Cricetulus griseus: one gene and its partners. The protein of the gene in region 2 interacts with the protein of the main gene of each other region in a biochemical or structural test. Links are inferred from orthologs where the notes say so. Each region holds a gene or a part of one and is shown on either strand. Other genes may lie near its edges.

Region 1 (10,667 bases), on a different chromosome or scaffold from region 2:
GAACTCCATGCCGGTGCCTTTTCATGGGGTCCCCAGGAAGTGGCACTGGGAACAATATTTTGGGATTTCCCCACACACCATTCAGATGCCAATCCAATCTTCAAGTGCCAGGGAGGACAGTGAGGAACAAAAGGTAGGAGGCAGGAAGGAAGACTTCCCAGCATTCCTGAATAAAAAATTGGCTTTACAGGAATGAGACAGAGCAGGAGACCCACTTGACCAGGGTCACATGGACACCCAGAATCCCCCAATGTCACCACCTCCTTCTCAGTCATCACCAGGCAGGGCCCACCCTTTCCACAAAGCCAAAGCACCTGATGGCCTGGACCAGCTCGCATACCTCCAGCCCCAGAGCCCTCCACACCACATTGGCCAGACTTATACAGCCCAGGCTCTGCAGAAGGCGCAAGCCTCCACTCACCTTTGCAGGTGTTGGGCTGTGGCACAGGCAGTGGGATGGTGTTGGGAGACACCTGGGCCGACTCAGACCTCGGTGCAGATTCCCGTGCAGTGTCCAACTGTGGGGCACCTCCATCTGTTATAGGCAGAGTATACAGCAGGGGGCAGGCTTACATCTTCTGTGAGGCCTTGGACACTCACAGGCAACCACACCAGGCACTGACCACTTGCCCATTCATGAGCAAAGAAACTGAGGTTCAGGGTACAAACATACCTTGGGCAAGAGCTATCTCATAGCTACTGGGAGAAGGCAAAATAAGGAAGGAAGAAGTAGGGGGTGTCTAGACTAAAAAGCAGCTCCACCCCATACACCTGGCAGGGAGAAAGCCATGGTTCTAGGTACACAGCTAGGGCCTGGTAAGGGTCCAGCTCCAGGCAGTCTTCAGAATTCCCAGAGCTAGGAGTCTCCTCTGGCTTCTGCCAGCATCAACACAGGGGCAGCAGGAAGAGAGGTAGCCTAGTAAGGCTACCCTCCAACAGCAGGACAAGCCTGTGCCTGGGCTGCCTATAGCTCACCTGGGCGGCAGGTGCGGCCGTCACCCTGCAGCTCAAATCCAGGGAAGCAGGCACAGCGGTAGGAGCCCACAGTGTTGATGCAAAGATGCTGGCAAAGCTCCCCCGGGAGCAGCAGACACTCGTCCTGGTCATCTCCCGGCAGGCTATTGGGCAGTTCAGCCTCTGTGCCCAGTGACAGGGCCTCCCGATTTGCCATCTCTGCCTCTGAAACTGGGGTGGTTGGTCAGCATTTGGAACACAGCCAACTTGGCCAATGGGTGGTTGAGCTCACAGGATCCAGGAAAACAACAGAGGCTCAATGGATGGTAACAATAGAGGAGTGAAGGAGGGAGAGAGGGAGGCATGGATGGAGGGATGGATGGATGGATGGATGGATGGATGGATGGATGGATGGATGGATGGATGGATAGATGATAGTGAATCCATGGTAACAGTCTGAGTCTTTACCACCTGGGTCCCTTCAATAGGACAGGACCATACCTAAAGGGGGCTCTTGCTAAAGTAATGAAGTAGAGTCATAGGAGTGCTGGCCTGGGTTGAGACAGATCAGGATATGACCCCTGATTGCAGCTTTCTTATCTGTGTCAGCACAGGGTCTTTTTGAGGTCCTGGGACCCACTGCCTACTCTGCAGAGGGTAGCAGGTGAGAAGAGAAGGTGGCGGTGGCTGCTGCTGCTGCTAGGCTGCTCTGCACTGGCCTAATACCTCAGCCCTTGCCATCAGCCTCAGGCAACAAGAACAGAATGGTAGCATGAGGCTGCACTCAAGGGCATGTCCTGGGGAGGGTGCCTGCATTGAGCTCCATCCTGAGGAGCCCTGGCCTGGTGCGCACAGCTGTTCTGGGGACCTAGAACGGTGACTGGGCAGAGGCAGACCAAGGCGCTGGGGTCCCTGAGCACATCAGCATGTCCCTCCATGGGCTAGGCCCTGTTCATTGCCATCTGCATGTCCTTCCTGTCATCCTCCCAGCAGAAAAGGAAAGGTCTCAGGCTGTTTCAAACAGGACTTAAAGTAGAACAGTCTGTTCCCACCACCAGTATCTCCCAGACCCAGAAGACTCCAGAAGCTCCTCACAGGAAAAGGTATGACGTTATATGGGTGGTTACATTGGGGGATGGATGGACCCCGCCCAGCTGTGTTGTCCACCCGGTCCCCTGTGTCATGCTCTGACTGCTGATGCTGATTCTGAGTTTCCTCCTGAACTCTACTTTGAGCCACTCTCTGGGTAATAAGTTGTTCTTCAGAAATTACTGTCTTTAACCAGCACCTTGGATGAGCTGGTGGATGGGTGGGTGGGTGAATGGGTAGACAAGCAGATAGAGAGATGAATGGAGAGATGGGTGAAAATGGATGAGCAGGCAGGTGGGTGGGTGGGTGGTGGGTGGTGGGGTGGTGGGGTAGGTGAAAAAAGAGGTGAATGAGTGAGTGGGGGATGTGGATAACGGGTAGATTTGGGGATAACGGGGAAGTATAACAATGAATGGATGGACAGATAGGCAAGTAGGTGGATAAGAAGTGGATGGATGGATAGATGGATGAATGGTGACAGATGACAGACTGATGGACAGATGACTGGATAGGGAAAGAGATAAACAGAACTGAATGGTGGAATGGGGAAACAGTGGAAAAATGTGGATATGGCCAGAGCGGCCAGGGTGGTGAGGGGATGGTTGAAGGTCACTGGTGATTGGTGAGTGGCACTGAGAACTGTGTAGGACTGCCACAACAGCACACAGTTAGAGTCCTGCCAGTAGCCACAGAACCCTATAGAGCAGAGCTCAAACTTCAAACCCCATACAACAATGGACCAGGATCCCTACCGTGGCCTGTGGCCACCCAGCCCAACCATCCTTAGTGCCCTAACCATCTTCCTCCAATTGCCTCCACATGGGAGGCAATTGGCCTGTACCCACCTCTTCGCGGGGTGGCCTCAGGCTCTGGTGGCCGACGGACCTCAGGCACTATGAGGGGCTCTTCGCCTTCACAGCAAGACAGCATGACATGGTTGCACGGATAGCCCAGGTTGGGGTTGGATTCACATGACTGGCCCTCGGCCCGCACTCGGAGTCCCAGGCCACAGCAGTCACAGCATTGCTGAGGAAGACAGAGCGTCAGCACCGGGCCCTCAGAGCCTACTTGACTTCCCACGGTCTGCGTGCCTGTGACTCATTCGGTATCCATGAGCATAGCCTGGAGCAGGCTCTGGGGTGAATTAGCATTGTCTAGTTCCTCTATCTGCCTGTATGCTCTCCCAGGGTGGAGGGTGACCCACCCCTATACCCCAAGTCTGGAGAAGGGTAGGACTAATGTTAATTTTCTTTCATGAATGAATAAATGTCCCTTTGGAAAGAACTACAAATGAAGCCCAGTCCTGCTCACCATGCCCCACCCTTAGAAGCAGACTCTAATCCTGTCAGCTCAGCAAAAAGAGAGCATTTCTCAAGGGACCTTACAGTCCTGGTGGCTTCAGGACAGGGATTACTTGGAAGTGAACCCATCTCACTCTCCCTGTTGCTCCTCAGAGTGTATATGTGATGAGGCTCCTGGTGTCATGTCATGCCATGAAGGGACCTGAAGCTAACACTCAACAATGACAATTCAACAACAACAAAAAAAGAGGTTGTATCCCTAAGACTATGTAGACTCACCTGGCCAACAGCCACAGGGAGATCTGATTTACATTATCAAACTGTGGCAGTAGGTTGGGTGCAGCAACAACTCCAGCTTCCCAGCCTCCCCGGCACTTAGTTTGTGGCTGGACAGCTCAGCAACTCAGAGAGTAAGTATGTGGCTCCAGCTTGGGGTAACCAATCACTTGCTTTGGTCACTAGGGTAAGATAAAAGTGACCATATGCCCATTTTAAACCTAGACTTCTAAAGAGCTTGCATGCCACTAAAATGTGGGTTTGGCATATGCCTACTCCAGGGCCCAGGGCAGGTCTAAGGCCACTGAGGCCCTTGAAGGGGACTTTGGAACACTAATTTCTTATGTGAGCAACTGGCTCTACCACGCATATCATGCCATGCCATTTCACCATGGGCCAAAGGCAGCATGGCCAACCTGAAACGTTTCACTCTCATAATGGAGTTATCTCAGGCATGTCACAGTGAGGAAAGCTGAGCAATACATGCTTTCAATCTCTTTCTCAGAGTTCTATCTGAACCAGGCCCAGCCAGCCCATTGTGGGAGAGAATGGTCCATTCAGGGAACAGAGAGAGTTTAGCTGTAGGCCACCTACATTGCCTGGCTCCAGAGAAGCCACCAGCCAGTGACAATCACACAGGCCCAGCTAAACATTTTTTTTTTCTGATGCCAAGCCAGCCACAAGCAGATACGATGAGTGATACTCCAGTCCTTCATCTGATGCTACACTACCCACTGCTGAAGGCCACATGGCCACAAGTTCCAGGTGCTGGCACTGGGCCTTGCCTGCCCCAGGATGGGCAATTCCTTGCTCCTGTTTTATTCAATGGGGAAACTGAGGCTGAGAGAAGGGAACTGGGCTTAGGGTAAAGGTAACCACAGAAGGACTCTGCGCCTGCCTGCAGCAAGATCCTCTTCTAATACCAGGTCATCTCCCTTCCTCCTGGTTTATCCCTGTCCCTGAGGCAGCTTGGGCCTGCCTGCCTCCAGCCTCCAGCAGACACATGCAAGGGAAACCAGCTTCTAGAACTCCCAATGCTTGCAGCCACACTGATCCTTGGACCACCGTGCACTGCCACACAACCTCCACCCGAAGACCTCTTCAGGCACTCCCTTCAGGCACACCACACCCTGCTACACTCAACCAGACCTGCCTCAGAGAAAGCAAGATGTCACTTGGGTTATTACTGGAGTTCAAAGCATACTTTGTGGATTTGTTGACCAATGCCATGACTGTTAACATTTCCTGGGAAGGTAGTGAGTCTGTCCCCCACCCTGCCCCCAAGATGTGGTGTCACCCATCTCAGCCACAATTGCAGAAGGGGGGACTTGCCTTGTACAGGGAGATGCCACAGGTATCATTGTCCTCAGCTCCACAGGCCTCACCCTCCTTGGCCCCCATGACGCCAGCCATGCAGCTCTTCTCCTTCAAGTAGGAGACACAGCAGTGCCTCTGGGCTATCCTGAAACAGGCGGCTGCCTCAGTACCTGTCTTCTTGGGACCCTCCCCTGGAGGGTGACAGTCCCCACCTCACAGAAGGGAGATGGAGTGGAGTCCTGAGAAGGGAAGCCCCCGCCCGAGGTCTACAGCAAGTGCGGCCAGGACTGGCAGCAAGGCAGGCACAACCCCCACCAAGTCTGAGGCCTGGGACCCACTGGCCTCAAGAGTTGTGTCCTTGACTCTGAAGAAAGGTGTTGGCATTCAGAGTTCCACTACCAATCCTGAGAAAGAGAGACCCAAACTCAGAAAGGACAGGGTAAATCTGGTGAAGAGAGTGGTCACTACCTGGCCCTCTCTGTTGTTGGTTGTTTTTTAACTCTTTACTCTTTAGGGGGCCTGCCACCCAGCTCCCAAATAAATCACATGGAGGCTTATTTTTTCTTATTAAAAGCCTGGCCTTAGCTTGACTTGTTTCTAGCCAGCTTTTTTTTTTTTAACTTAATTTATCTCATCTACCTTTTGCCTTTGGGCTTTTACCTTTCTCTATTTCTGTATATCTTTTCTTTCCTTCTTATTCCATGTTTGGCCATGTGGCTGGGAAGCCAGCCCTTCTTTTCTCTCTCCTTGACCTCTCTCTCTCTCTCTTTTTTTTTTTCGAGACAGGGTTTCTCTGTGTAGCTTTGGAGCTTATCCTAGCACTCACTCTGGAGACCAGGCTGGCCTGAACTCACAGAGATCCGCCTGCCTCTGCCTCCCAAGTGCTGGGATTAAAGGCGTGTGCCACCAACGCCCGGCTTCTCCTTGACCTCTCTTGCTTCTTGAGCCCTCTTTTTCTCCTTCTATTTATTTTCTCTGCCCTGACAGCCCACCTGTCCTTTCTCTAGCTATTGGCCATTCAGCTTTTTCGTAGACCAATCAGGTGTTTTAGGCAGGCAAAATAACACAGCTTCACAGAGTTAAACAGATGCAATATAAAATAAAGCAACACATCTTTGCTTCATTAGGCAAATGTTCCACAGCATAAATGAATGTAACACATCTTAAACTAATATTCTACAACATCTCTCCACGTCGCCAATCTGTGGAAGAGGAAGCTGAGAGCCAGCAAAGCTTAGATCAGGGGAGGCAAGGACTCCACACTACTTGGGAGGGACACATAAAGGGATCAACTGTCCAATGGTGGAGCCGTGGTCCATGTTGTGGGGGAGCTCAAGAGGATGTCAGTATTCATTATGGCTGCAAAGCTCAAAATGCCTGGGGTCTGAATAGTGTGCACGTTCTAACTATTCAGTAACCCAAATGGGAGTGGCAAAAAGGAAAAGGGAGGGACAGAGTTAGAATTTAAATTTCTCTAAAGAAGGCAGACTGGGGTCAGGCACGGTGGGTGGTGCATGCCTTTAATCCCAGCACTTGGGAGGCAAAGGCAGGCAGATTTCTGTGAATTTGAAGTCAGCCTGGTCTACATAGAGAGTTTCAGGTCAGTAGGTCTACACAGTGAGACTCTGTCTAAGAATTATGGAGGAAGCAGAGGCAGAATGAGCAGGACATTAGAAAATATGGGTTCTAATCCTGGCCATACTACTGGTGGGCTGTGCAGCTCTAGGAGAATCGCACTGCCTCTCTGAACTTCATTCTCCTTTCTGAAAAAATGAGTAGGTTGTGAAAGATGAGCAAGGGAGATAATAGCTGCCCAATCCTGGCAGGGCAAGCAGAGCACACACATTTGAGCCACAGCACAGGTGGCAGAGGAGAACAGAGGGCAGCCAGGCTGTGGAGAATGTAGGGTGGCTGAGCTGGGGGAGCGATAGCTGCAGTAAGTGGGGAGCCCAGCAACCCCAAGGTGGTGATGTCCCTTTGAACTTGTTCTAAATTACATACCATTGCATTTGCCCACCAAGACAGCCACAGATCCACATGGCCAACTGACTCTCAGGACCAGTCATGTGATCACCTGACACTCAGGACCTCTCTGTCTCTCCATCAGCCTGGCCAGATGGCTCACTGCATTCACTCTGGGTCACCTTCACACACCTGGGGCCCAGAGAAAGCAACAGCAGTTCTGTCCACCCCAGCCACTCACCTGCAGACGTCACTCTCAGCACCGTTCTGGGGGATTTCCTGGCACTCATCATTGTCGATGGCCCACTGCTGGCCAGCTGCACAGCATGTCTCAATCAGGTCTTTGGTGGAGACTGTGGGTTGCAATGAGGAGGTGTAGCTGGGTTTCGGGTCCACCAAGTGCAGTATGTACTGCAGACACTGGGCAAGGGAACCTCTTACCCCCAACCCCCATCCACCCCCTACCCTGCACATCCAGCTCTCCCCTTCTAAGGAAGCACTGGAGAGACTTGGTCCTCCTGCAGCCAATGGGTAGCCAATGGCTGGCTCCAAGAGCATGCAAACATACTTGTGTGTGTGTGTGTGTGTGTGTGTGTGTGTGTGTGTGTGTGTGTGTGTGTGTATTTGGGGGGGTGTTCACTCCAGAGCCCACAGGATCAGACTGTGTAGGCAGCAGCTGACCTGTAACTTGTCTAGTCCCTTCCCTAACCCTTATACTGTTTTGCCTAGACATGTCCCTAAATGAACCATTACGGACATAAGAAACCCTGACTTTGGTTCTGCTTCTGAGGAGCCTGACCTGAGTAGCCCAGATGGTGCAGGAGACAAGAAAAGAGCTTCAGCGGGCTTGTGGGATTCCACTAAGAGCTATCTTAAGTTTCTTTTCTCAGGGATGTAATGGTGAAATCTAACTAATAAAAATTAACACAATGATTAAAACTAAAATTAAAATTAAAACTAAAATTAAAACTAAAATTGATGTATTCAAATAGTGGCTCTTTTTAATACAGTAATAGGAAATTTAGCAGGAAAAATGTCATTTAAAAGAGAACTCCAGATTTCAGCATTAAGCATGTTGTCCAACAAGAAGGGAATATCTGTCTCTGTCTCTCTCCTTCTTCAATTTATTTTATGTATTATTATTTTTTTGCCTGCATGTATGTAAATGTACCACATGAATGCAGAGCCCACAAGGGTCTCAAGAGGACATCAGATCCCCTGGAACTGGAGTTACATGTGTTTTTGGGCTGCTGTGTGGGTGCTGGGAACTGAACCTGTGTTCTCTGCTAGATCAGCAAGTGCTTTTAACCACTTTATTTGAAGCACATACCATGTATGCATACTTGAGTAAAGGGTCTATGTACTCAAGACATGAACTCTCCTGTATGTGAGCTACAACTTTAATACAATTATAATCAAAGACCCAATCTGTTTATGGGGTTTGTCAAGGTGATTCTCAGATTCAGATAAATAGCCAGGCCTGGTGTAACCAGCCGGTAATCCACTACTCAGAAGGTCTTGCGGCCAGACTGTAGTTCAAAATCAACTTTGTGAGACTCTGTCTCAAATTGAAACCCTAAAAACAAAGAGGGGCAGGGTTATGGCTCTCAACCAGGCTGACTGCTTCCTTTTCCCTTTTCAGGGATCAAATCTCATCAGAAAATGTCTTCCTGACCTCTGTGTACCCCAACCCCATCACATCACCCCACTCAGCCTCTGTTTACAAAAGTGACTATAAAAAAGTATACAAGCCAGACAGGGAGATACATGCCTGTAAACTAAGCATTCTGCAAGCTGAGGAGGGAGGATTACAAATTTGAGCCTGGGCTTCATAAAGACACACACACACACACACACAGAGAGAGAGAGAGAGAGAGAGAGAGAGAGAGAGAGAGAGAGAGAGAGAGAGAGAGTGAGAGACAGAGAGAGAGACAGAGAGAGAGAGACAGAGAGAGAGAGACAGAGAGAGAGATCCTGGGGTCCTGGCCAGGCAACATATGATGGATGTCTTAAGAGATAACAATGACAGCCCCAATGTGCTGAGTGCCAGCAGCAAGCCAGGCGAGAGGCCAAACACTCCAGCTGTTGTTACTCCCTCTGCCCAGAGGAAGTGGAAGACTAGAGAGTCCAACATCACTTCCTCTCTTCCCTTTCTCTTCCAGGCAACATGGCAACAGCCAGCCTTGAATGACGTGAACCCAGCCTCCAGCAGGCCAAGGGGTTGCCACCACATGGACTTGGTGGTCTTCTCTTCTAGTTTCTTGGTCTCAGACCAGATTTTAGCCTGCACTTGGTAGACTTCCACTATTCCCCTGGCTTTTCCCATCCCAGGTTTTCTTACTTCAAAGGCATCTAGAGCTATGACCTCATGCTGGAAGGTCAACCTATTTGGAGCATAAGGGGGACTGGGTCTAATGTGGATGGTCCTGAGGCAACTCCCACAGGCTTGGCTCCTTCCCTGACTCCAGACATCCCAGCCTCTCTGGGGATTTCTTGACCTCTCTGGCTTCTGGCCTGTGGGGTATACACCAAGGATCCTCCTCTTCATCACACTCTGACTCTTAGTGACATCCTCTGGTCTATGGGCCTCCTATGTCACCTTCCCTTGGCTCCTCCTACACTTCTATACCTAGCTTGGCCATAGGAATTTGTGCCCCATCAGCACAAATTGACTTGCTTCAGGCTGACCTGGCTTCCCAAGGCTGGGATGTTTGCCTCCTCCTGAAGCCTAAATTGCTGCCTCACAGGACTTTCTTGTGTCAGTGAAGTCCCTGAGTGTCCTAAGGACCCTCCAGGACAAATCTATACCACAAGGGTCACCTCCAAAGCACACACAGTCCACCCACCTATCTCATCGCTCTACCTCACCTAGTGTCCCTCTGCTTTCATCTGTCCTCCAGTCACTTCCAGGATGGTACCCAGGTGACTGTCCACTCACAGGAATCAGATGAGGACTCCTCTGTGACTGAAGTCCCATGGATGGCCCTGCCTCCTTCTCCACTTTTTCCCTTCTCTGCTCACTCATTCCTTGGTGTCTCTGCCTCATTTCTTCCCAGGGTCTGAGCACTTGCTATACTGTCTGCCTAGACTCTTCTACCCCTCTTCCTGCCTTGCTTCACCTCTACTCTCAACCAGAGGTTGCTCTTTTCCCCTTTTCAGAGATCACTTTTCCTCAGAGAGGATCACCCTGGCTTCCGTGTACCCCAACTCTACCACATTATCTCACTTACCCTTTCTCACACTGCGCTGGCCTTGGGTAACTCTGAGCCATCTTAGGGAGCTTGGAACTGCATGGAAAGCCATTATATGATAAAGTGTCTCACACACACACACACACACACACACACACACACACACACACACACACACCCCGGTGTGACAATCAGGCCTTCAAAGCAGTTCTCACCCTTCTGCCTGGTCACTTGGGCCTCTGCTTGTTGTCCTCATTGGTGATGATCTATGCATCTATGCTAGGAGCACCCTCCTCCTTCCTGGCTACCTGGGGAATGTCCATCCATCAGGCCTTAGGAAGCCCATCTGATATGACTTCTCTGCCCCTCCATCTGGCCAGCACCCACCTGCCTCTGGGAAGGTGGATTAGCACCCACTTCTGGTCACACACACACACACACACACACACACACAATACCAAGATAACCCTCACAAGTGACACACTTATCCCAATATAACCTTGGAGGGTCCTGTGTCCAAGAATAGGTCTGAGTCACCTCAGGTCTCCAGTGGGCAACACAGGGCCCAGCACTGACC
Region 2 (10,667 bases):
AATGGCGTTGGCTCCCAGGAGACTTCGCTCATTGTCAACATCGAGAGCAGAGGTCCATCCCATGGTGAGAATGTGGTGGACAAGGGGCTGGGCAAGTGAGTGTTGGGGAGACAGAGGTCCCCAGTATTGTCACTATTGTCTAATTGCATTCTCTCCCCTACCCTCCTCTGTCCCCAGTGCCCAGTGTCTCCCCACCAATGAGGATTGAGACCTCATCTCCCATAGTGGTGGAAGGACAGACCTTGGATCTGAACTGTGTGGTGGTTGGGCAGCCCCAGGCCACTATCACATGGTACAAGCGTGGAGGCAGCCTGCCTTCCAAACACCAGGTACTAAGAGGAACTGAGGCAGTGGGGTGGCCCTTCGATCTCTCAGGATGGAGGGCTCCTTCTCACACCTAGTGTACTCCAGCCATCTGGACTTTGGGTAGACAAAAGGCAGCCTCAGCAGGGCCAGCGATGTAGCTCAGTTGGTCGTGTGCTTGCCTGGCATGAGGACTCCCTCCCTAGCGCCACAGAAAACCGGAAGTTGTGCTGTGTTGTATTCTCAGGAGGTGAGGGCAGAAGGATTAGAAGTTCAAAGTTATCCTCAGCTGTTTAGTAAGTTCCCAGGCCATTCTGGTCTGTGTGAGGACCTGAGTTCAAATTCCAGCATTCATGTAATAAGTCAGGTATGGTCCTGCACCTGCCTGTAATCCCAACATTGAAGTTGGCAGAGACAGGGTGCTTCTGGGGCTTGCTGGCTACCAGCCTAGTTGGTAAAACACTCCCAAGTTCACAGAGAGACCTTGCCTCAAAGGAACAAAGGGGACAGTAATAGTGGAGACACCTGACGGCCTCCTCTGACCTCCACATGGGGGCACAACCGTGTGCATCAGTACATCCACACCCATGCACATACATACACACTCACAAAAACACATATACACAAAAATAAGTAAGACAGCCTCAGCAGGCCTGGCAAGGGAGGTTGGAGTCAGTGGGGCCGTGGCTGCTGATCTCAGCCCTGTCTGTCTTATCCCCATCTGTCCCAGGCCCACGGCTCTCGTCTGCGGCTACACCAGGTGTCAGTGGCTGACTCCGGCGAGTATGTGTGCCGAGCCAACAACAACATTGATGCTCAGGAGACCTCCATCATGATCTCAGTCTCCCCCAGCAACAGCAGCCCCTCTGGTAGGTCTGACTCCTGATCCAGGAAAGGGACAGGGAAACACAATTCCCTCGGAAGAGAAACCTTGAGTTGAAGCCCACAGACCTGGGTGTAGGTGAAGGCAAGGGTTTACAAAGAGTGTCTGTGTTCAAATCCTGCTGTGTCACTCCAGCAGTGAATAAGTTACACTTTGTTCGTAGCCTCGGTCTCCTTGACAGTGAAATGGGGACACAGATCACTGCTGCCTCATAAAGCTAAACTGTCACACTAGCCTTGTAGGCAAAAATCGTTAACAAGCCAGGCCCAATGACAAAGGCCTATAATCTTAGCTCTTTGGGAAGCTAGGACAAGAGAATCAAAAGTTCAAGTCCAGCCTATGCAATTTAGTGACACCCTATCTCAAAACCAAAGTAAAAAGAGGGCTGGGGGTGTGGCTCAGTGCTAGGGTTCTTGTCTAGCATGCAAAGACCCTGGGTTCAACCCAAGTACTACAGAAGAAAAAACAGAAAGAAATTTGGTTTGTAGGCTGGGGAGATAGCGCCATCAGTAAAGTGCTTGCCATACTCACATGAAGACCTGAGTTAGAGCCCACATAGAAAAACTGGATGCAGCCTGGCAGTAGTGGTGCACACCTTTAATCCCAGCACTCAGGAGGCAGAGGCAGGAGGATCTCTGTGAGTTTGAGGTCAGCCTGGTCTACAGAGCAAGTTCCAGGAGAGCCAGGACTGTTATATAGAGAAACTTTGTCTTGGGAAACCAAAAATTAAAAGGACAACATTCTGCACTCAGGGGGTAAGAAGCAAGCCAATCTCTATGAGTTGGAGGCCAGCCTGGGCTACAGAGTAAAACCCTGCCTCCAAAACAAATAAATAAATGAATAAAAACAAGATTGATGTCTCTGAAAAATAGCACCTAAGGTTGACTGCTACACACACACACACACACACGTACACACACACACACACACACACACACACACACACAATTTCGTTTTATGCCGAGCACAGTGGCTCACATCTGTAAATAAAAAATAAAGTCAATATAAAAGGATGTTTCCATCACCCCAGGGTACGGAAGTGTGAGGGTTAAGTGTGTTGGTCAAGGATGTGGGTACTTAGAGCAGTGCCTGGCACCCTGATGGTGCTTACCAGGGGGTAGTTGAGACTACCCTGGGCTATGGGTTTTCTGTTCTGTGGATCCTATACCCCACTTGAGAATCCAGCCCAGGCTAATCTGCTCTCCTCTGTCCTCAGCCCCAGCCGGTGCCACACCCATCAGAATCGAATCCTCTTCTTCAAATGTGGCCGAAGGACAGACTGTGGATCTGAACTGTGTGGTCCCTGGACATGCCCATGCCCAGGTCACATGGCACAAGCGAGGGGGCAGCCTCCCTGCTCGACATCAGGTATAAAATGGAAAAGAAATGAGAGAAATGCTGGCCGGGAGTGCTGGTTTGCTCTGCCCAGGAAGTAGGCATGAGACCCCTGTGGGGATACCTCACACACCTGGAGTGGAGGCTGGACCTTGGCTCCCAACCTTCCAGGCCTCTCGGTTGATATCTTATCCCTCATCCTCTGTCTTTGGCCCACCCCTGACCAGGCCTACGGCTCAAGGCTGCGGCTGCACCAGGTGTCCCCTGCTGACTCGGGCGAGTATGTGTGCAGAGTTCTGAGCAGCTCTGGCCCTCTGGAAGCTTCAGTCCTGGTCTCCATTACAGCACCTACCACTAATGCCCACGTCCCTGGTGAGGATCCCTGCATGGGTCTGGAAAGAGAGACAAGGGAGGGAGAATATCAGCTGAGCTGGGTATCTTTGAGGCCTGGAGACAGCAGGTGTCTGATTCCAGACTTCTGCCTCCTGTCTCTTGCCCTCCCTCGCTGTTCCAGAACACAGGGCCAGGCCAGACGGTATGAGTTTCTCTCTCTCTCATGGGCTTGAGAACACAGCTTTCAAGTGTGGTATCAGTGTCCCCACCTGGAGACGTCACACAAAGAACTCTCCACATTGCTGTCCTCCATGGACAAAGGACAGTGGGGCTCTTGCTAGTGGGGTTTTTACCCTCTACTATCTCGATGTATAGGCAATCTACTGAGGTCCCGAGAGCCTGGCCTTGCCCTGTGGGTTGTTAGAGGTCATTTGGGATGGTCTTGATGAGTGTATCTACTAGTTGTGGTATATTAACAACTGCGGCACCTCAGACCTGTTGTGGTTTGAGGTAGTTATTACTAGAGTGGAGCTAAGGACTAGGTTTTAAAATGGTTCAATTAAAGGAAAACAGGGGACCCAGGCATGATGTGATGTCAGTTGCTCAGATCCAATCCTCCTGCTGTTCATATTAACTGCATTTCATCCTGTTAGCCCTGAGGCTGGATGACAGTTCTCCATTTTACAGTTGGGGAAATAGAGACACAGAGGTAGCTTCCCAAAGATCACACAATAAGTGGCCATGCTAGCAGCTGAGCTCTTGCAGTCTGGCCCCAAGGTCTGCATTCCTAGCTACCACCTACTGCAGATTGGGAAGTGTCAATGGCTCTGTGGAGGGGCCTAGCCCAGTGGTTCTGGGAGTATATGGTTGCCTGGGGGTGGGGCTAGGAAAAAAGAGGGGTCCCCATCCTCAGCGAGTCCTTCCCTCCAATCTGAGTGGCCTGAAAAGGAAAAGAAGCCACCTGCCCCTTGAAACCAGTGTGCACAGTAGAGCACCCGGGAGAGACTGAGCAGCCTTAGCCACTGACCACTAGCTGTGCCCTGGCCCCAGGTGGAGTCCCGCCCATCCGCATCGAGACCTCTTCCTCCCGAGTGGCTGAGGGGCAGACCCTGGATCTAAGCTGTGTGGTTCCTGGGCAGGCCCATGCCCAGGTCACATGGCACAAACGTGGAGGCAGTCTGCCCGCCGGGCACCAGGTACAGAGCCTGGAAAGAGCAGCATGTGCCCCTCTTCCTCAACCCCAGTGATCATTTCCTGAGCCCATCCCTGAAGGGAGGGTGGCCCTAGCAGCCCGTGACAGTTTGAGAAACATTGTACAGCCACCTAGAGACAAGTGTTTGCAAACAGACCAGGCACAACAGGATTACCCCCAGTACCCAGCACTTCCTCAAGACCCTACTTCCTAAACTCTACTGTCTGTTACATAGGAGGCAGAGTTTTGTGTAGGCCAGGGCGGGGCACCTAGAGGCAAAGCAGTGCTCCCCACCCTCTCCCCTCTATGCAGGTCCACGGTCACATACTGAGGCTGAACCATGTGTCCCCAGCGGACTCTGGCGAGTACTCATGCCAAGTGACTGGCAGCTCAGGTACCCTGGAGGCTTCTGTCCTGGTCAACATTGAGTCCACTAACCCCAGGCCCATCCCTGGTGAGTGACATGGAGCAGTGGGTGATGTTGGGGATGGTGCTTTCCTGGCCTTGCTTTTTCTTCACATAGGGCCTTTATTTTGGTAGATTTTGTGGTTGCTGCTGTGTTTTGTTTCGTTTTGCTTGTTTTTTGTTTTGAGGGTTGTTTTTTTTTTGTTTTTTTTTTGTTTTTGTTTTTTTTTTTGAGACAAGGTCTCACTTTGTAGCCCTTACTGGCCTCTAACTCATGCTACTCCTCTCTCTCTGCCTCAAGTTCTGGAATTACAGACAGTTGTCAGCATACCTGTCTAGGCATGGCATTGTTCTTGGGTCATTGGCTTTCATATGGCTGAGGATCAAGCCCACCCAGGTCAAAGCTTCCATAATCTGTGTCTGGGTTACTAAGTCCTTCAATCACCCTCAATCAGTCCTGGTTCTCAGCAAGACACCTCAAAACCAGGGAAGGGACACTGCCTTGGCTGATATGGCTCAGCTGTGTCCCCTCTAAGAGTATCACCACAGTTAGGTCCTTACCCTCACCCCAGGAGCCTTGACTGTTCCCCACCTCTGTGCCTGCAGCTCCAGGACTGGCCCAGCCTATCTATATAGAGTCCTCCTCCTCCCACGTGGCTGAGGGACAGACTTTGGATCTGAACTGTGTGGTTCCTGGGCAAGCCCATGCCCAGGTCACATGGCACAAACGAGGGGGCAGCCTGCCTGCACGACACCAGGTACTTGGTCAGGGTGGGGAGAAGCCTGGAGTAGGCGAGGTCTCCTGTAGTTTCCTCTGCACCTAAGCCCCACACAGACCCCAGCATTCATGGGATCGTGGGAAACAGGTATCCATCAGGGAAGAGTGCCCCAGACCAAGAGAACAGTTGCTGAAAGACGTTCCTCCTGGCATTGCTTTACAACTAGCATTTAAACCCATGTCCCACTCAGTAAAGAGAATGTGTCAAACTCGAGAGATTCTGTGCGGGAAGCTCCTTCAGCCCACAGCTGCAGGCCTAGCTCTAGGCCTCACTTCCCTCATCTCCAGAACCCTTGATGGATTCCTTCCCTTACTCTTCTGACAGACTCATGGCTCCCTGCTGAGGCTCCACCATATCTCCCCTGCTGACTCTGGCGAGTATGTGTGCCAAGTGGCTGGTAGCTCCCGCCCTGAGCATGAAGCTTCCTTCACAGTCACAGTCCCGCCCAGCGCAGGGTCTTCCTACCGTGAGTATAGGGAATGTCCGGAGTGGGGAGGGAGGCCTAGAGCCTAGACAGGACCTACCTGAGTGGAGCCAGCCCACCCAAATGAGCCTAGAATCTGACCCTCGGGCTCCATCCAGGTCTCAGGAGCCCCGTCATCTCCATCGAGCCACCCAGCCTCACAGTGCAACAGGGCCAAGATGCCAGTTTCAAGTGCCTTATCCACGAGGGAGCAACACCCATCAACCTTGAGTGGAAGACCCGAAACCAAGAGCTGGAGGGTGAGTGGCTGGCTGCCTGGGCTGGAGGCAGGAGGGAGGGCCATTTGCTGTGAGACACAGGGTGGAAAGCTGGGTCCATGCCATGTTCCCCAGTGGCTCTGAGTGAGGCTTGAACCCATCCATGTAGTGACGGAGCAGGACCCAGAAGACTGCCAGGGCTCCCACTTACCATCTATGACTTCGAGCCCTGTGTCCAGACCCAAAGGATCAACAGTGAACTAGCCTTCCCTCCCTTGGTGTTGATGTGATAAAATACCCTGATGAAAGCAACTGTGGGGGGAAATAGGACTTATTTCAGGCCACAGCTTGGGGATTATGCTCCGTCAAGGCAGCAAGAGCTCAAAGCAGCTGGTCATGTGACATCCACAGCCAGGAAGTAGGGAGGGATGAGGGAATACCTCTGTTCAGCTCACTGTCTCTTTTCATACAGTCCAGAATCTCCTGCCCAGGTGATAGCTTTCTCCACAGTTAACATGTATCTTCCCACACCAGTTAACCTAATCTAGGTAATCCCTCACAGGCCTATCTCTGAGGCAGTTCTAGATCCCGTCAAGGAACAGCTAACACTAACCATCACACTTTACCAATGCAACCCCACAGACAATGTCCACATCAGCCCCAATGGCTCCATCATTACCATCGTGGGCACCCGGCCCAGCAACCATGGAGCCTATCGCTGCGTGGCTTCCAATGCCTATGGTGTGGCCCAGAGTGTCGTCAATCTCAGTGTGCACGGTGAGAAACACCAACCCATGGTTCTGGCCCTCTTGCCAGCCCAGCTTTTCCAGGTTTAAAATCAGTCCCACCACTGCCAGCCCTCTAAGAATGGTATTCAGCTGTGGACTGTGGCTCGTCTGTAACCCAAAGCTCTGCGTGTCATTCCTCCCTCAGGGTCTCCTACAGTGTCTGTGCTCCCTGAGGGCCCTGTGCATGTGAAAATGGGTAAGGACATCACCTTGGAGTGCGTCAGTGCTGGGGAACCCCGCTCTTCCCCCCGTTGGACCCGACTCGGCACCCCTGTCAAGTTGGAGCCGCGGATATATGGACTCATGAATAGCCATGCAATGCTGAAGGTGAGGTTGGGGCTGCGCCATGTCTGGGTCTGAGGTCCTTCCTAGGAGCTGACTGAAGCAGGTGCCTAGAGGCCTAGAGGGGACATAAGTAGATGGACAGATAAGAGGAGGTTAGTGGGGATTGGAAGGTGGGAGAAGAGAGGATGAAAGGAAGAACTAATTAATGACTCAGAAGCCTGGGTGGACGGGTAGCTGAGTGATGGGTAGATTGGTTGCTTAGCAGATAGATGGACCCATGGGCAGTTGTGAAAGTGAACCTTCCAGCAGCACAGAGAAGAGCTAAAAGCAAAGGAAGGCATCTAGGGATACTGCTCAGTTGGGAAAGTGTTTGTCTATTGTGTACCAAATCCTGGTTTCCATTCCCAGAACCACATGAACAAATCATGGTAGCATAGGCCTGTACTTGAAGCATCATTCAGGGTGTGGAGGCAGGAGATGAAGATTGTCACCAAACAGAATTCCAGGCCAGCCCGGGCTACATGAGACCCTAGCTCAGAAAACAAACACAATAATCAAAATACAAAGGAAGGGTTCAGTATCAGTGTCCTCTGCCAGGCACCTTCAAAACCAGACTGTTTTCTTCTAGATCTCATCAGCTAAACCATCAGATGCAGGCACCTATGTGTGCCTGGCCCAGAATGCCCTCGGCAAGGCACAGAAGCAGGTGGAGGTGATCGTGGACACCGGCACTGTGGCCCCAGGCGCCCCTCGGGTCCAAGTTGAAGAAGCTGAGCTGACCTTGGAGGCTGGACACACGGCCACTCTTCACTGCTCGGCCACAGGTGTGGTGTGGTGGAGCCCCACAGAAAGGCAGAGCAGTGCTGCTCTGGGGCTTGGATTCGTCTGAAAATGATGCCACGCCCCAGAAGCATCCACTTAGCCAGTCCCATGGAGGAATAGGTCACTTACAACCTTTTCCTATCACCACACACACTTGATTGATCCCTGGAACAGCCTAGTGACCAAGCCATCTTCAACCCTATAGGCAATCCCCCGCCCACCATCCACTGGTCCAAGCTGCGTGCCCCCCTGCCTTGGCAGCACCGGGTAGAAGGCAACACACTGGTCATTCCCCGGGTGGCCCAGCAGGACTCAGGCCAGTACATCTGTAATGCCACCAACTCTGCTGGGCATACTGAAGCCACTGTTGTCCTGCATGTGGAGAGTAAGTCTCCTATACCCTCTTCGTGGACTTACGTTAGTGTTGCATGGAGGTCTATGTTCCCCTGCCAAGCTCCTCTTTGGGCAGAACCCCAGCATCCCCTTCCATCTAGATGACTCCAGAGCCTGCCCTGACTGTCACCCATGTCTCCTCTTGGGCCCTAGGAGCTTGATTGCATTATCTGGATGCAGCTACCTACTGTGGTTCTTTCCCACCTGATCTCTGTATGTGTGTTCTTCAGGTCCTCCTTATGCCACCATCATTCCAGAGCATACCTCAGTGCAGCCAGGGAAGCCAGTTCAGCTGCAATGCCTGGCTCACGGCACGCCACCACTCACCTTCCAGTGGAGCCGTGTGGCTGGCATCCTCCCTGAAAGGGCTGTTGCTAGGAACGAGCTGCTGCACTTGGAGCTCACAGGTCCTGCAGACTCTGGCCGCTACCGCTGCCAGGTCTCCAACAAGGTGGGCTCAGCTGAGGCCTTTGCCCAAGTGCTGGTCCAAGGTAAGCAGCTAGAGTCTAACTGGGAAACCAGGAGTCAGCTTCCTTGTGGGCCCTTTCTTTTCTTTTTTTTTTTTCCTTTCTTCCTTCCTTCCTTTCTTTTTCTTTCTTTTCTTTTCTTCTTTTTATTTTTTTTTTGGTTTTTCAAGACAGGGTTTCTCTGTGGCTTTGGAGGCTGACCTGGAACTAGCTCTTGTAGACCAGGCTGGTCTCCAACTCACAGAGATCCGCCTGTCTCTGCTTCCCAAGTGCTGGGATTAAAGGTGTGTGCCACCAATGCCCAGCTTTGTTTTTCTTATGTAAAGAGAAGGGGGGGAAAGTGTCTCCCTCCCGGCTATTCATGTCTTGGGCCACCTTCCCTATCCAAGGGCCCAAACTCTGAGAGGCAAAGCCCAGTCCCACACTGGCCCTTGGTGCATCAAATGATTGAAAATGATTGACTATGAGAACAGATGAGTGGATCTGTATTGAAAGGACTATCTGAAGAACATCCCTTGAATGTTGAGATGAGGGTATCCTGGTACCCGGGTATTTCAGGGATATGACGCATACATGTGTACAGAAGAGCCTTGGGTGTCCTGTGTGATGCTGTGGACCTTTGTCCCAGCTCATCAAGATAACTAAGCTGAGGTAGCACTTGATCCTAGGAGTTCAGTACTACTCAGGACAACAGAGGAGAAACCTCATCTCAAAACCCTATACAAACAACCTCATGCCCTTAGCCTGGGGGCGGGGGGCAGAGGGTATGACTTGTGCTTGTTTAACTTACACTGAGTCCTGGCTTCAATGCCCAGCACCATATAAATTAGATGTGGTGACATATGACTGTAATCCCAGCATTTAGGCAGGAAATTACAAAGTTCAAGGTCATCCTTAGCTACTTAATGAATTTGAAGATAGCCTGTGCTACATGAGCCCCTGTTATAGTAAACTAGCTAACTAACTAACTAAATCTCACGTGTCTCCACAGGCCCTTCTGGCGATCCTAACTAACTAACTAAATCTCACGTGTCTCCACAGGCCCTTCTGGCGATCCTAACTAACTAACTAAATCTCTCGTGTCTCCACAGGCCCTTCTGGCGATCCTAACTAACTAAATCTCACGTGTCTCCACAGGCCCTTCTGGCGATCTCCCTGAAACCTCCATCCCAGTAGGATCCACACCCACTGTGCAAGTCACTCCTCAGCTAGAGACCAAGAATGTGGGGGCCAGCGTTGAGTTCCACTGTGCTGTGCCCAACGAACGGGGCACCCACCTTCGATGGCTCAAGGAGGGAGGTCAGCTGCCTCCTGGACACAGTGTACAGGACGGAGTCCTCCGGTGAGCGGTGGTGGGTGTGGACTGGACTCAGGTTCCCCCCAGCCTAAGGCTCAGTGGAACTGACTTACTTTACCTGCCTATGGGGCCACGACAGAGCAATGTCCTTGAGTGAGCTGCTAGTGCTCTCTGAGCCTTAGTTCTTTTTTGTTTTGTTTTGTTTTGTTTTTGTTTTTGTTTTTTTGAGACAAGGTTTCTCTGTGTTGCTTTGGAGGTTGTCCTGGCACTTGCTCTATAGATCAGGCTGGCCTCGAACTCACAGAGATCCGCCTGCCTCTGCCTTCTGAGTGCTGGGATTAAAGGTGTGCACCACCAACACATGGCTGAACCTTAGTTCTTACAGTGGTCAATAAGTTAGGAAATTGAAGGCTGTTCTCTCTAAAATGCTTAGTGCTTTCTTGGAGCCTGGAAGGCCATCTGCTAACAGTGGCCTGTGTTCCTTCTATACTGGTTTGGTTTGGTTTGGATTTTTGTTTTGGTTTGGGGGGATTTTTTTTTTTTTTTGGATTATTTGGTTTTGGTATTTTGGTATTTCTGAGACCAGGTCCCTCTCTGTAGTTCAGGCCAGCCTGAAACTCACTATGTGGATCAGATTGGCTTCTTAATTAGCTGTGATCCTCCTGCCTCCGCCTCTCTAGTACTGACTGGGATTACAGAGGTAA
Region 3 (10,667 bases), on a different chromosome or scaffold from region 2:
GTCCTGTAGGAACCTGGTTCTCTCCCTTCTCATTGGGAAATATGAGTATGAGAAATATTCAGCAGAATTATCTAAGATCCCTAGGTTGTGGAAACTGTTGAGAGACTTTAAACTTCAGTGGAGAGAGGGGTAAGGGACCTTACAATGATAAAGAAAACAAAAGAAATTTTGTTCCCCTAGGGACCTGCAGTAAATACACTTCACCAACTGAGAGCGTTTCCTGAATATAAAGTGAACCCTTCTTACCGAATGTGAGAATACACATCTCCCTCTTCCCAAGGTCACCAAGTGACTTCCACTAACCTCCCTCCCACCTCAGTGGTGTTTACAACCTTTGGAATATTTGTCACTTGTCACGTCCCACCTCAGCCTTTGTTTGGCCTACTTTCTAATTTTAGCTGTTTTAATCGTCCTCATCTGAAGCCTGGCCTTCCTGGCTTCTAATTGTACAAATAACAAATATCTTTTTGATGGATGGTGATGAATGTAAAATAAATTAAAAATAGACCCCACTACACCAAGATATCTACAAGACTCCACTCATCACCTCTTTGAGGCTCAAATGTCATATCCTTAGTAAAAACTTCCTCATTTAGATTGTATAACATTGTAATATACACATGTTAGCATGTGCAATACAAACATAGCATTTCCGTTCATTCTGAAAGTCTTTCCTGCTTTACTTTATCCCACAACATCTATTCCTACTTAACCTTCCTTATATGTTATTTGTTTATTGGTTGCTTCATCAGCCACCAGCGTTGTAAACACCAGAAAGATGCAGTGCTGTCTTGGTTGGTTCACCATGGTGGCACTTAGAAGTCTACCTAGTCAGCTGGGCATTGGTGGTGCACACATTTAATACCAGCACTTGGGAGGCAGAGGCAGGCAGATCTCTGGTCTATAGAGTGAGTTTCAGCACAGCCAGGGCTATTTAGAGAAACCCTGTCTTGAAGAAAAAGAAAAGAAAAGAATTAAAAACAAAAACAAAACCTAGCACTTAGTAGTTGGTCAATGAGTATTAGTTATATGAATTAATTTCATGAAACCTCTAGCCACCTTTTATTAGCAGAATCAGAGCCTCCCCAGGGGAACACATTTAAGAATCCTAAAAGTGATGCATGAATTTCCAAATAGCACAAGCAGATGTCTCATTTCTAGGCCTGTGATCTGAAGAGAAAGCTTCCTCCCCCTTGACCTGTCATACCTTCCTTGATGCCAAGAACTCCATGCCCTTAGCCACTTGGAAGCTGTAGCAGATGAGATGCTCCAAGGTCAGAAAGTCCTTGTACAAGTCCTCAGCAGCTATGAAGAGGCAAGAGGACACAGTTGAGTATTCTCACCAGTCAGTAGCTCTGCTCTAAGTCAGCCCGAGTGGTATCTTCAATACTTGAGAGCCAATTTCAGGAGACAGAAGGAGAGCGCCTGCCCATTTGCTAAACCCCAAGTTATTAGCCTTCATCTTACTCCTTGGGGAAAAAATGTTTTCTCCATTTTAGTCAAATTGAGCCACTAAACCCAGAAAGGAGAATAGAGATGAGATCAGAATAGATCAGAAAGGAGAGAAAAAGGATCTTTTAAAGTCTGCTATCTCAAGTTGTTTTTTTCCCATGAACTCAGAGGGGAAAACAATAGCTCATATTAAGAACTCTAAAAATAAAACAACAATATTGAGGGTCATCAAATCTTTTCTCTCTGGGCTTTTGTCTCCTGGGACAAAGACCAAAGTTCAAACTACAGACTATAACAGATAACTAAAAATACCAGAAAGAGATTTATTTCTCTCACTTTCAAACTTAAGACACGCAGTAAGCACATTAAGTCTGGCCTGTAGAGGAGACTTTCCTCTAAGACTAGGAGTGAGTGACAACAACATGAAAGAAAGATTAATTTACGTAAGTTGATAGTATTTATTACAGCACAACTGATACATATAAACACTGAGCCACCCATGGGTATTTTGAAATGTTCTCCTAACTTAGATCAGGTAAGATATGGCTACTGTCTCTTTCCTGGACACAAGACCAGAGTAAACACAAACTCAGTTGCCATAATAGCCTTGTTACTACTAAGAAGGCTGAGACTTCTTCCTCAATGACTTGTGATGCAACATGGCTAGGAACAGTGAAGCCCTCTTCATTTTCCAGATAAATACATAGAGGCAAAGTTCAAGCCTGAAATTCCAAGCCATTTACACCTCAATCCCTACTCCTAACTCCTTGCATTTCTAGTTCACTGGCTACCATTTGTGAGCAAGAGGGTACACGACCCACTTAACTGCAGACCTTTTGACGGCAGGTCTAGACAACTTCCCTATGCCCCTCTAGCCCAAGCCCTAGCCACCAGCCAACTATATAGCTTCCAAGACAAAGAAGTTAGATTAAGATCTGTCAGTTGGCTTATGGCAGGGGAAACAGAAGTGGGGTTGTGTTTGTCTAAACTCACACTCCCAAGAGAACCAGGCCTTAGGCATCCCCATTACTTTGACCACGCAGCTGTGCCTGATCGTTCTGATTGAAGCAGATGTACAGTGTGTCCTGGAGCTGATTGAAGCATTGGAGGTGAGGCTGAGGTCCAGCTCCACCCATACATACCACTAAAATACCATCAGGACCATAAAGCATGGCTAGAAGGGGGGTGTGAGAAGCCAGTTGGAGTGGAGTGAAAACGGCAGATATGTGCTAACCCATCTTGGAGAAGGCCAGGTAGAGATAACTGAAGGGCCCTCTGTGTGCTAGTGATGCACACTATTGGGTCTGAACCACTTATGGCAATGAAGGCTAGTCAAGTGCCAAAGAGCTCCCATCCTCTTTACGAACATAGCATTCAACCTCGACTGACAATAAATTCTGATCCAGTACTGGACCAGAGTATTGATTTGATTGCTAGTGACAGCTTAGCACACGGAGTTGCCTGGACTTCTCAGGATAACCATGCTTTGCCTCCCAAGGGAGTTCACTGTCTATTTAGGGATTTCATAGTTTAGATAAGTTTGACTGGATGCTACCTAGGAATTTGGATTTCTTTCATCCATGAAGCTTTCCCCCATGGCTGAGTAACTTGTCATCGTCTCTTTCTACAAGAGGATGTGCATTAGGCATGGGCAGCAAGGGCAGGTACCTTCTTCTTCCTCTACATCACTGAGGGATTTCTCCTCAACAAATCCAGAGCTGGCAGAGCTCTGGCTGCTGGTGATGCTATCCAAGCGGCGTTTCAGATCCACAGAGAGCTCCCCAACGTAGTCTTTCCCCTGGCGGAACCGTGCCCCTTTACTCTGGAAAAGAAGGGACTGTGTGAATTCCTCAAATACAGAATGGGTCTCTAATGCATTGCAAGGTCACAAACAGTTGAAATTATTAAAAGCAAACAAAAAAGACAACTCTGGGATTACAGTCTCTGAGTTGAAATGTGGAATGAGTTTTACCAGCGTTCCTTCTATAACACCAAGCTCCTTCTCTTTAGTGTCAAGTGCCAAGTGTCTCCAGGAATACTTGGACAAACTTCCATTAGTGTCCTCTTTACAGAGAGATGAACCCTCATGGAGCCACATATGACTGAGGTGACAGACTATAATCTAGAACCAATGCTCTCTCGGCCCTACACTTTCCTTAATCAAATCTAGCACCGTTGTAATGGGTCAGGAGATTAAAGTCCTAAAAATAAAATATGAGAAGCCTACAACCCCCAGAAGACAAAAGTGGACGTTAAGACAACCAGGGAAATGTGCAAAGAATTCCAACTAAAAGACATATGTGAGCCACTTTGAGTTTTGCTCTGCTTTCTGTATGACCATGCTCAGGCAGACGACAACGACATACCTTATAGGGAACAAATTCATTTCTCTTGCCCCGTAAGTAAGTTGATAGGTTTCCAAACTTGCAGAATTCCACAATCACCATGAGAGGCCCTGCAAATAACACAGTGAGTTAAGAAAGAAAATGCACTTCACCAACACTTCTCACTATGTGCTCAGCATATTGATAAGCCCAAAACTGCCCTAGAAGAAGGCTACATTTAACCTTTCACAGGAACAGGGTGGGCGACATCGGCTGACACCAATCCTTCCTATTACAATTTTTCTTTTTCAAAAAGATGATTCTACATGAGTAATCCAAACATCAGCAATCAGCTGAGGTGACTACGGGATGGGAGGCAAAGGAGATGATGAGAGTTTCTTTCCTGCCAAGGTCTGGGGAATGTTCCTTTTTCCCATCTAACAAAACATCTCCCCATGATGAGACTATTCTTTAATTCAAAGGATGCTACAGAATCATTTGATTATGGTGTCCACTAAATTTCTATGCAGCATAGTACATTTAGGATTCTTCAAAGTATTGCTTCCTTCAAACGCCAACAGAGGGAGAGCTATGAGTCAAACTCCCGAGAGCAGTCACAGCAGTTACTTACCTCCCGGCTTGGTGCAGGCACCTAGAAGGTTGACCACATTGAGATGGTGGCCAATGTGGATGAGGATCTTGAGTTCAGACATGAGGGCTCGGTGCTCACTGTGTGTTGCTCCTTCTACAAATTCAGAATAAAGACAATAACTGTTAACTGTCGCCATTGCTGCAGGATGATGGGTGCACTTAACCACACAACTTGCTCTCCCAGAAGAGGGCAGCTATAGCTGACAGAGCAATGGTGTGTTCTGAAATGTCAAATGCAAACTCGGTTTTCTAACTAGAAAGCAAGGCTTTATTTTAAGCAAACCCTGAATCTAAGGTGAGTTTCTTGTAAAGTTGGGAACATATTTGCAGTGGAATCAAAGCCAGATTCTCTTTCTATACAAAACTGGAATTTTCAGGTATAATAGGCTACTTAGGTCATAATCACTTCAATGATTCCTCATAGGGAAGGGTCCCATACATTAAGTATTCTCAGATCTAGGGACCATGAGTTGGGTGAATAAAGGCACTTGCCCACTGAGCCTAACAACTCCTGAGTTCAAACCCTGGGCCCCTGGGACCTACATGGTGGAAAGAGAGAACTGACTCTTGCAAGTTGTCTTCTAACAATGCATATATTCTCTCTCTCTCTCTCTCTCTCTCTCTCTCTCTCTCTCTCTCTCTCTCTCTCTCTCTGTGTGTGTGTGTGTGTGTGTCTCTGTCTCTCTCTGTCTCTCTCTCCTCCTTCTCCTTCTCCTCCTCCTTCTTCTTCCTCTTCTTCTCTCTCTGTCCTCCATCACTTCCCCCTCTTCACACACACACACACACACACACACACACACACACACACACACACACACACAATGTGGTAAATTTGCTCAAGTCTATACTAATTTTCCAATTGATCTGCACCAAATAAATAAGTTAACAGGACTAGCACACAAGCAAAGCTGCTTGCACATGAGCGTACTGGGGCTAAGGCTGCATTTGAAGCTATATGGACAGCTACACTTCTTACTCACAACTATGGGTTTCACCTCAGGGCCTGATGACCCATCTCTACACACACACGCACACACACACACACACACACACACACACACACACACACACACACACACGCAGGCACGCACACACGCAGGCACGCACACACGCAGGCACGCACACACGCAGGCACGCACACACGCAGGCACGCACACACGCACACACCTACCTTAAGCCTGGAGATAGAAAACGCAAAGGGAGAAAGGCACAAGACCTACTGGCAAAGGACAAGCAGCAGCATCTCCCTCCATGGAAGCAGTCACAAATGGAGCAGAAGCTTTACCTACATCACTTTCCCTCATCAGAATGTCCAGGCTGTAGCTCCGTTACTATGAAAAGATGCTGATGTCTAAAAGAACACCCACATCCTCTTCTGTTTGCATAGCTACTCTTACTTCGTAAAATACCTTTGCAAATGAAGTTCTTTGGCATGTTCTAATTCTAAAGAACATGATGGTTTCGCATTCTCATATTTTTACTGATAACAAACTTCTTTCCTCATTTCCAAAGGGTTTATATCAGCTTACACCATAATACATTGAGGAAAACTTTTAATAGACCCAGATAGTTTTCCCCCAATTGTACTAGTTGATCCTTGCTCCCTGGTCATGTGCCCTTACATGACACTTTTTAAGGAGGGAACTGTTTCCAGTTTGTGCAAAACTACCAGAAGCCAGGGGCCTTCTGGCCAACCTATGCACAGAGCCACCAATGCAAGCCTTATACCATTCTTAATGATGGTCAAGATAGAGGGAGCCACATCACAATGTCATTTTGCTTTTTACCTTTCAACATTTTGACGGCCACTGTTTTGCAAGTTGCTGTCTTGTCAATTCCAAAGGCATCTGCCTCAATCACTTGGCCAAAGGCACCACGGCCAAGAGGCTTCCCTAGAACCAATGATAATGATAATTACAAAATTTGATTGTCATGTCACACTATCAGAGGACTCTGTGAAGATTCTAATTGGTTAAGGTGACGTTGTATTCCATTTAGATCCACAGCCTGGTTTACTTCCTCCTCCTGGCTTTTCCCTTCACCCTCTAAAATGCCCTGCTTTGAATGATTGTATGGGTTCCTTACTTATAGAAGGCTATATGGATGAATACCCAAAGTCAAGAGATAGAATTAACATTTATGAATCAGAATGCATCCTATGAATAGACTAGACATGTCATTGTCTTAAGGAGAGTTAGGTGGACTGCTAAAATCAAAATCAAGTTAATTCCAGTTGACAACTCACCTAGTTTCAGTCGGTCCCTGGGGAATTCCCATTTGCTAGCATCATAAGGCAAGCGTTCACAGCGCTCATTCAAGGGCAGTTCATCTGGATCCATGACAATGGACAAGTAGCCTGTCTTCAGTTCCCCTTCATTGGCCTAGAAAGTATAAACCCTTCCACTCACACACAGATCCTGTTGTTTGGTTGTTGTTTTGTATACTTGTTGCTGTTTAATAGGGAACCCATTCATGGTATCTCATTTTCCAATAAAACTCATGAAGTTTGAGAGAAGTCCTATTATAACCCTGCTTTTAGTGCCTCTTTAGTTTCCAAAATGAGTTCAGAATAGAGTTTCTAAATCTTAATTACAGTGGACAGTCCAAACCCTTTACCCCTCCACTGGCTTCCATCAATTAACGTCCATAGTTCAGCCAAAGAAAATGGACAAGAATGTTATTGTATTGAAGTAAAAATGTGCCCATTGAATCAATAACAATGGGAAGAAGCAGCTGAAAGAAGCCCAGTCAGGTTCCATTAATCACAAAAACCAACATGCAAGGGACAGGATGGACATTATGTTGTTACCCGCTTAACGGTCCGTAGAACGATGACAAGAAGTAGCCAGAAGAACATAGCAATCACAGCAGTGCCCACAAGAATAATGACTTCCAAGTTGGTCTTTTCCTGAGCACCTGGAAGACACACATTTGAGTGATCAGCAACTGAAAGCCTTTGACAGAAGGTGATAAAGCTATGACATGAAGGCAGGACCTCAGGCTCATCCACTTTCAAGACCTCCACAGACCAACAGCCACAGGCTCCTTAAGTTGGATAGAGTTTCCAGCATTCTTAAAGAACAAGAAAACATCCAGTAATAGGATTCTCAATGAACCATAGGTGCACAAGTATCTTAATAGATGCGTATAGGATGTGTCTGGTGAGAGACTTCTTTTGAGGGAAAAAGAAAAGGTACTTCCATTTGTGGGTAATACAGTCTGGTTTTGTGCTGACAGTCAATGTTTTCACTTGTGTGGCATGGGAAAAGTGATTGTTTAGAAAACTCTACAAGGAAATAAGGGAAGCCCTTTGCCCCGACAGCTGCCTGTGACCACACACCTACAACCTGCTTCACTTTTTCAGTATTCAGATTGAAGGAATAAGATTTGAAGGATTAAGCTACTTGTTTGAGAGACACAGGAAGTTGGTGGGTTGTTCAAGGGTTATACCAGGTCCATCCAAATTGGGCTCACCAATATTTCACCCTGTCCCTGCATAGCAGAAGTGTGAAAAGCAGAAGAGAGGAGAAAGGGAGAAAGGAAGATAAAGAGGGGGAGGAGAGGAGAGGAGAGAGAGAGAGAGAGAGAGAGAGAGAGAGAGAGAGAGAGAGAGAGAGAAGGAAGGGAAACTGGCATAAGCCACTGACATAAGGGCACTGATGTGTGAAAGGAAAGGAGAAAGGCAAAGCTAAGCAAGGCATAGAAAGTTGTAGACTCCTCTCCAGAGTGTGTTCCAAGAGGAGAATTACCAGCAGAAGGCTCTTAGCACCAAATGATTAGGAGGGAGGTGATTAGGACACAATTATCACTTGGGATCTCTGTCTCTCAACTCCCAGTGTGCAGTATGAGTTGAAATGAGCCCTGAGCTAGCTGGGGGGAGGGAGTGGGGAGCCAGAAGCCAGAAGACAAGCAATTAATTAGTTGGCAAAATAAGAGTTACCAGTTGGGAGACAAGCTCTGAATGCATCAGTAAGTGGATTTGGTTTCTCTGCGGTTCCCAGGGAAATAATTCTCTATCTGTGTGTAAAGATTTAGAAGTCTATTCATGTGGCACAGAAGAAAGGTCAAAGGTTGAACTGTCTCTACCAGTTTTTGTATGAATATTCTCATATTAACATCTGAGAGCTAAACATCTTGCTATTGTCCCCAGGTGAGTCTCCACAATACCCATGCCACTGTGCCCACTCAGGCAGGGTAACCTAATGCAGAAGGCTAATGGAGGGAAGTAGAGTACCAGAGAGAACTGATGGGCACATCCTCCCTGAGATCAGCACTAAGACATGGATGTCTTTGAAGATGATAGAACTACCATGCAATTGGCATCTTCACTTGCAGCTGCAGTTCATGGAATCCTAACATTCTTACAGATTTGAGAACATGATAGTCACTCTAGATGCAATATTCAACAGCGTGAGTTTGACAGATTAAAGGGACCAACATCTAGACTTTAGAAATCCGCCAACCCTGCCTCTCTAACCTCCCTCAATCATCCCCTTGCACACCACTCCTTCAGTCACACAATATAGTTGCATTGTTCTCTTAGTAGGTTATAAAAGAAAAAAAGGACTCAGCATGCTCTTCATAAGTTGAAATATTCTGTCATAGATTGCTGACTGAAAAAAAGGCATACACCACACACACACACAGGGTAGAAGGAAAGAGGTTTCCTTTCAGTTTTCAATAATAACCCTCAATTTTCCATGTCACAAAAGCAATCATCTATCGTTTATGAGTGAATCTTGCCTCAGCTCTAGTGAAAATTCTGAACCTATGTCACTAATTGAATAGCAATGTCAACACCAAATCTAATTATTTTCCAAGCATCAATTCTTTAAGTTAACTTGGCCATTCAAACAAAGTGAGAACGAGGGACAGGAGGCTATTCATCACTCCTGGCTAAAAGTTTTCTCACAGTGAGAGCCGCGTGAATAGGAAATATGGTACAGGCTGAAGCATACCCATAATTTTGTTTTCTGATTAAAAGAACAGAAACCCATTGAAGACAGAGTATGAAGAACAGGGGGAGAATCTCCAACTCAGAACTCCCAGAGGACCAAGATCAGAAACTTTTTGAGTGCTAGTCCCTTACCTCAAGTGACAAGACACAACCAACAGGCAGATGCCCTGAAAATGTTATGTAAAAGTGCCTTCTGGCTATGTGTGTAAAGTTTACATGACACCTGAACAAGTTTTATGCTTGGATGTAGGTCCCCTCCACAAAATATCTATTAAACATATGAAAAATTCTAAAAGCTGGACTATATCTCTTCCTAAATATTTTAGATATGAAACACTTAACCACCATGAAGAGCATAGTCACCTACATTCCATCCCACTCAAAGTATTTGAGGCTATGAACACAGACTAATCCAAAAAAAAAAAATCTGTTGGGTCTATGGCATCACACTGACCTTCTATTATAAAAAGTGTCTCCGCTCTTGCACATCCAAGGACATTGCAGGCCTGACAGGTGTAGAGGCCTTCATCCTCCTTCCTCACCCTTCGGATAGTTAGGTTCCGGTTCCCATCTTTCAGTACAATTCCTAAAAGAGGAAGGAATTGCTTGCTTTGTTTCTGATGATGCAATCTGTGCATTGAGAAAATTCTTAGAATAGTTGCTGCTGCCCTTCAGCTCTGGCTATTATCCAACTCTAAAGAGGCACATGGGATTGACTCCTATCTCCCATGGGATCTCCATGTGAAATCAATAGGACTCCAAATACGCTGCTTCTGGCTCTGAAATGAGCCAGATAGACCCTTTACCCAAATACATTTTTGAGTGTTCATGCGAGCATGTGTGAGTGTTGGGGGAGATGTGTGCATAGAGGCCAGAGGTCAATGTTGGGTATCTTCTTTATTATTTTCTACCTTATTCTTTTGAGACAGAGTCTCTCCCTGAATTTGGAACTCAATGATTAGCTAGACAGGCTGTCAAATGGGCTCCAAGGATGCACTTGTCTTCCACCCCGTCCTCCACACATACACCCTGCCCCTTAGACTGGTATTACAGATAGATGCTAAGTCTAGTTTTCTATGAGGGTTCTAGGGATGTGGATGCAGGCCCTCATGCTTGTGTGGCAAGCATCTCACTGACTAACTGTCTCTCCAACCCCATAAATACTGCTTTCTGTCAACTTTGTAATAAACCAAGAAATGAGAGCAGTTTTACACAGCATCCTTGAGAAAAAATCGACCACTAGAAAAATAGACAAGCTCACTCACCTGAATCTTCCACGAGTG

What was found. The genes of interacting proteins can lie anywhere in the genome.
Region 1: the proteins of Hspg2 (region 2) and Fbln2 form a complex in vitro, tested with the Homo sapiens proteins (2 studies listed by BioGRID). The link is inferred for Cricetulus griseus from reciprocal best matches to the Homo sapiens genes HSPG2 and FBLN2.
Region 3: the proteins of Hspg2 (region 2) and Kdr form a complex in vitro, tested with the Homo sapiens proteins (2 studies listed by IntAct). The link is inferred for Cricetulus griseus from reciprocal best matches to the Homo sapiens genes HSPG2 and KDR.

Annotation. Positions count from the first base shown.
Region 1 is NC_048601.1:52,559,500-52,570,166, forward strand, and holds part of Fbln2 (fibulin-2), read right to left. Parts: intron 7,253-10,667; coding exon 7,141-7,252; intron 5,083-7,140; coding exon 4,953-5,082; intron 3,070-4,952; coding exon 2,889-3,069; intron 1,186-2,888; coding exon 976-1,185; intron 536-975; coding exon 422-535; intron 1-421. UniProt on the Homo sapiens protein: Its binding to fibronectin and some other ligands is calcium dependent. May act as an adapter that mediates the interaction between FBN1 and ELN.
Region 2 is NC_048595.1:15,783,471-15,794,137, reverse strand, and holds part of Hspg2 (basement membrane-specific heparan sulfate proteoglycan core protein), read left to right. Parts: coding exon 1-64; intron 65-177; coding exon 178-329; intron 330-1,033; coding exon 1,034-1,172; intron 1,173-2,402; coding exon 2,403-2,554; intron 2,555-2,748; coding exon 2,749-2,893; intron 2,894-3,904; coding exon 3,905-4,050; intron 4,051-4,358; coding exon 4,359-4,500; intron 4,501-5,057; coding exon 5,058-5,209; intron 5,210-5,554; coding exon 5,555-5,696; intron 5,697-5,812; coding exon 5,813-5,953; intron 5,954-6,553; coding exon 6,554-6,688; intron 6,689-6,844; coding exon 6,845-7,026; intron 7,027-7,612; coding exon 7,613-7,808; intron 7,809-8,011; coding exon 8,012-8,191; intron 8,192-8,429; coding exon 8,430-8,690; intron 8,691-9,803; coding exon 9,804-10,008; intron 10,009-10,667. UniProt on the Homo sapiens protein: Integral component of basement membranes. Component of the glomerular basement membrane (GBM), responsible for the fixed negative electrostatic membrane charge, and which provides a barrier which is both size- and charge-selective.
Region 3 is NW_023276807.1:142,420,980-142,431,646, forward strand, and holds part of Kdr (vascular endothelial growth factor receptor 2), read right to left. Parts: coding exon 10,650-10,667; intron 9,971-10,649; coding exon 9,839-9,970; intron 7,344-9,838; coding exon 7,237-7,343; intron 6,809-7,236; coding exon 6,673-6,808; intron 6,320-6,672; coding exon 6,215-6,319; intron 4,522-6,214; coding exon 4,408-4,521; intron 3,908-4,407; coding exon 3,819-3,907; intron 3,275-3,818; coding exon 3,121-3,274; intron 1,306-3,120; coding exon 1,208-1,305; intron 1-1,207. UniProt on the Homo sapiens protein: Tyrosine-protein kinase that acts as a cell-surface receptor for VEGFA, VEGFC and VEGFD. Plays an essential role in the regulation of angiogenesis, vascular development, vascular permeability, and embryonic hematopoiesis.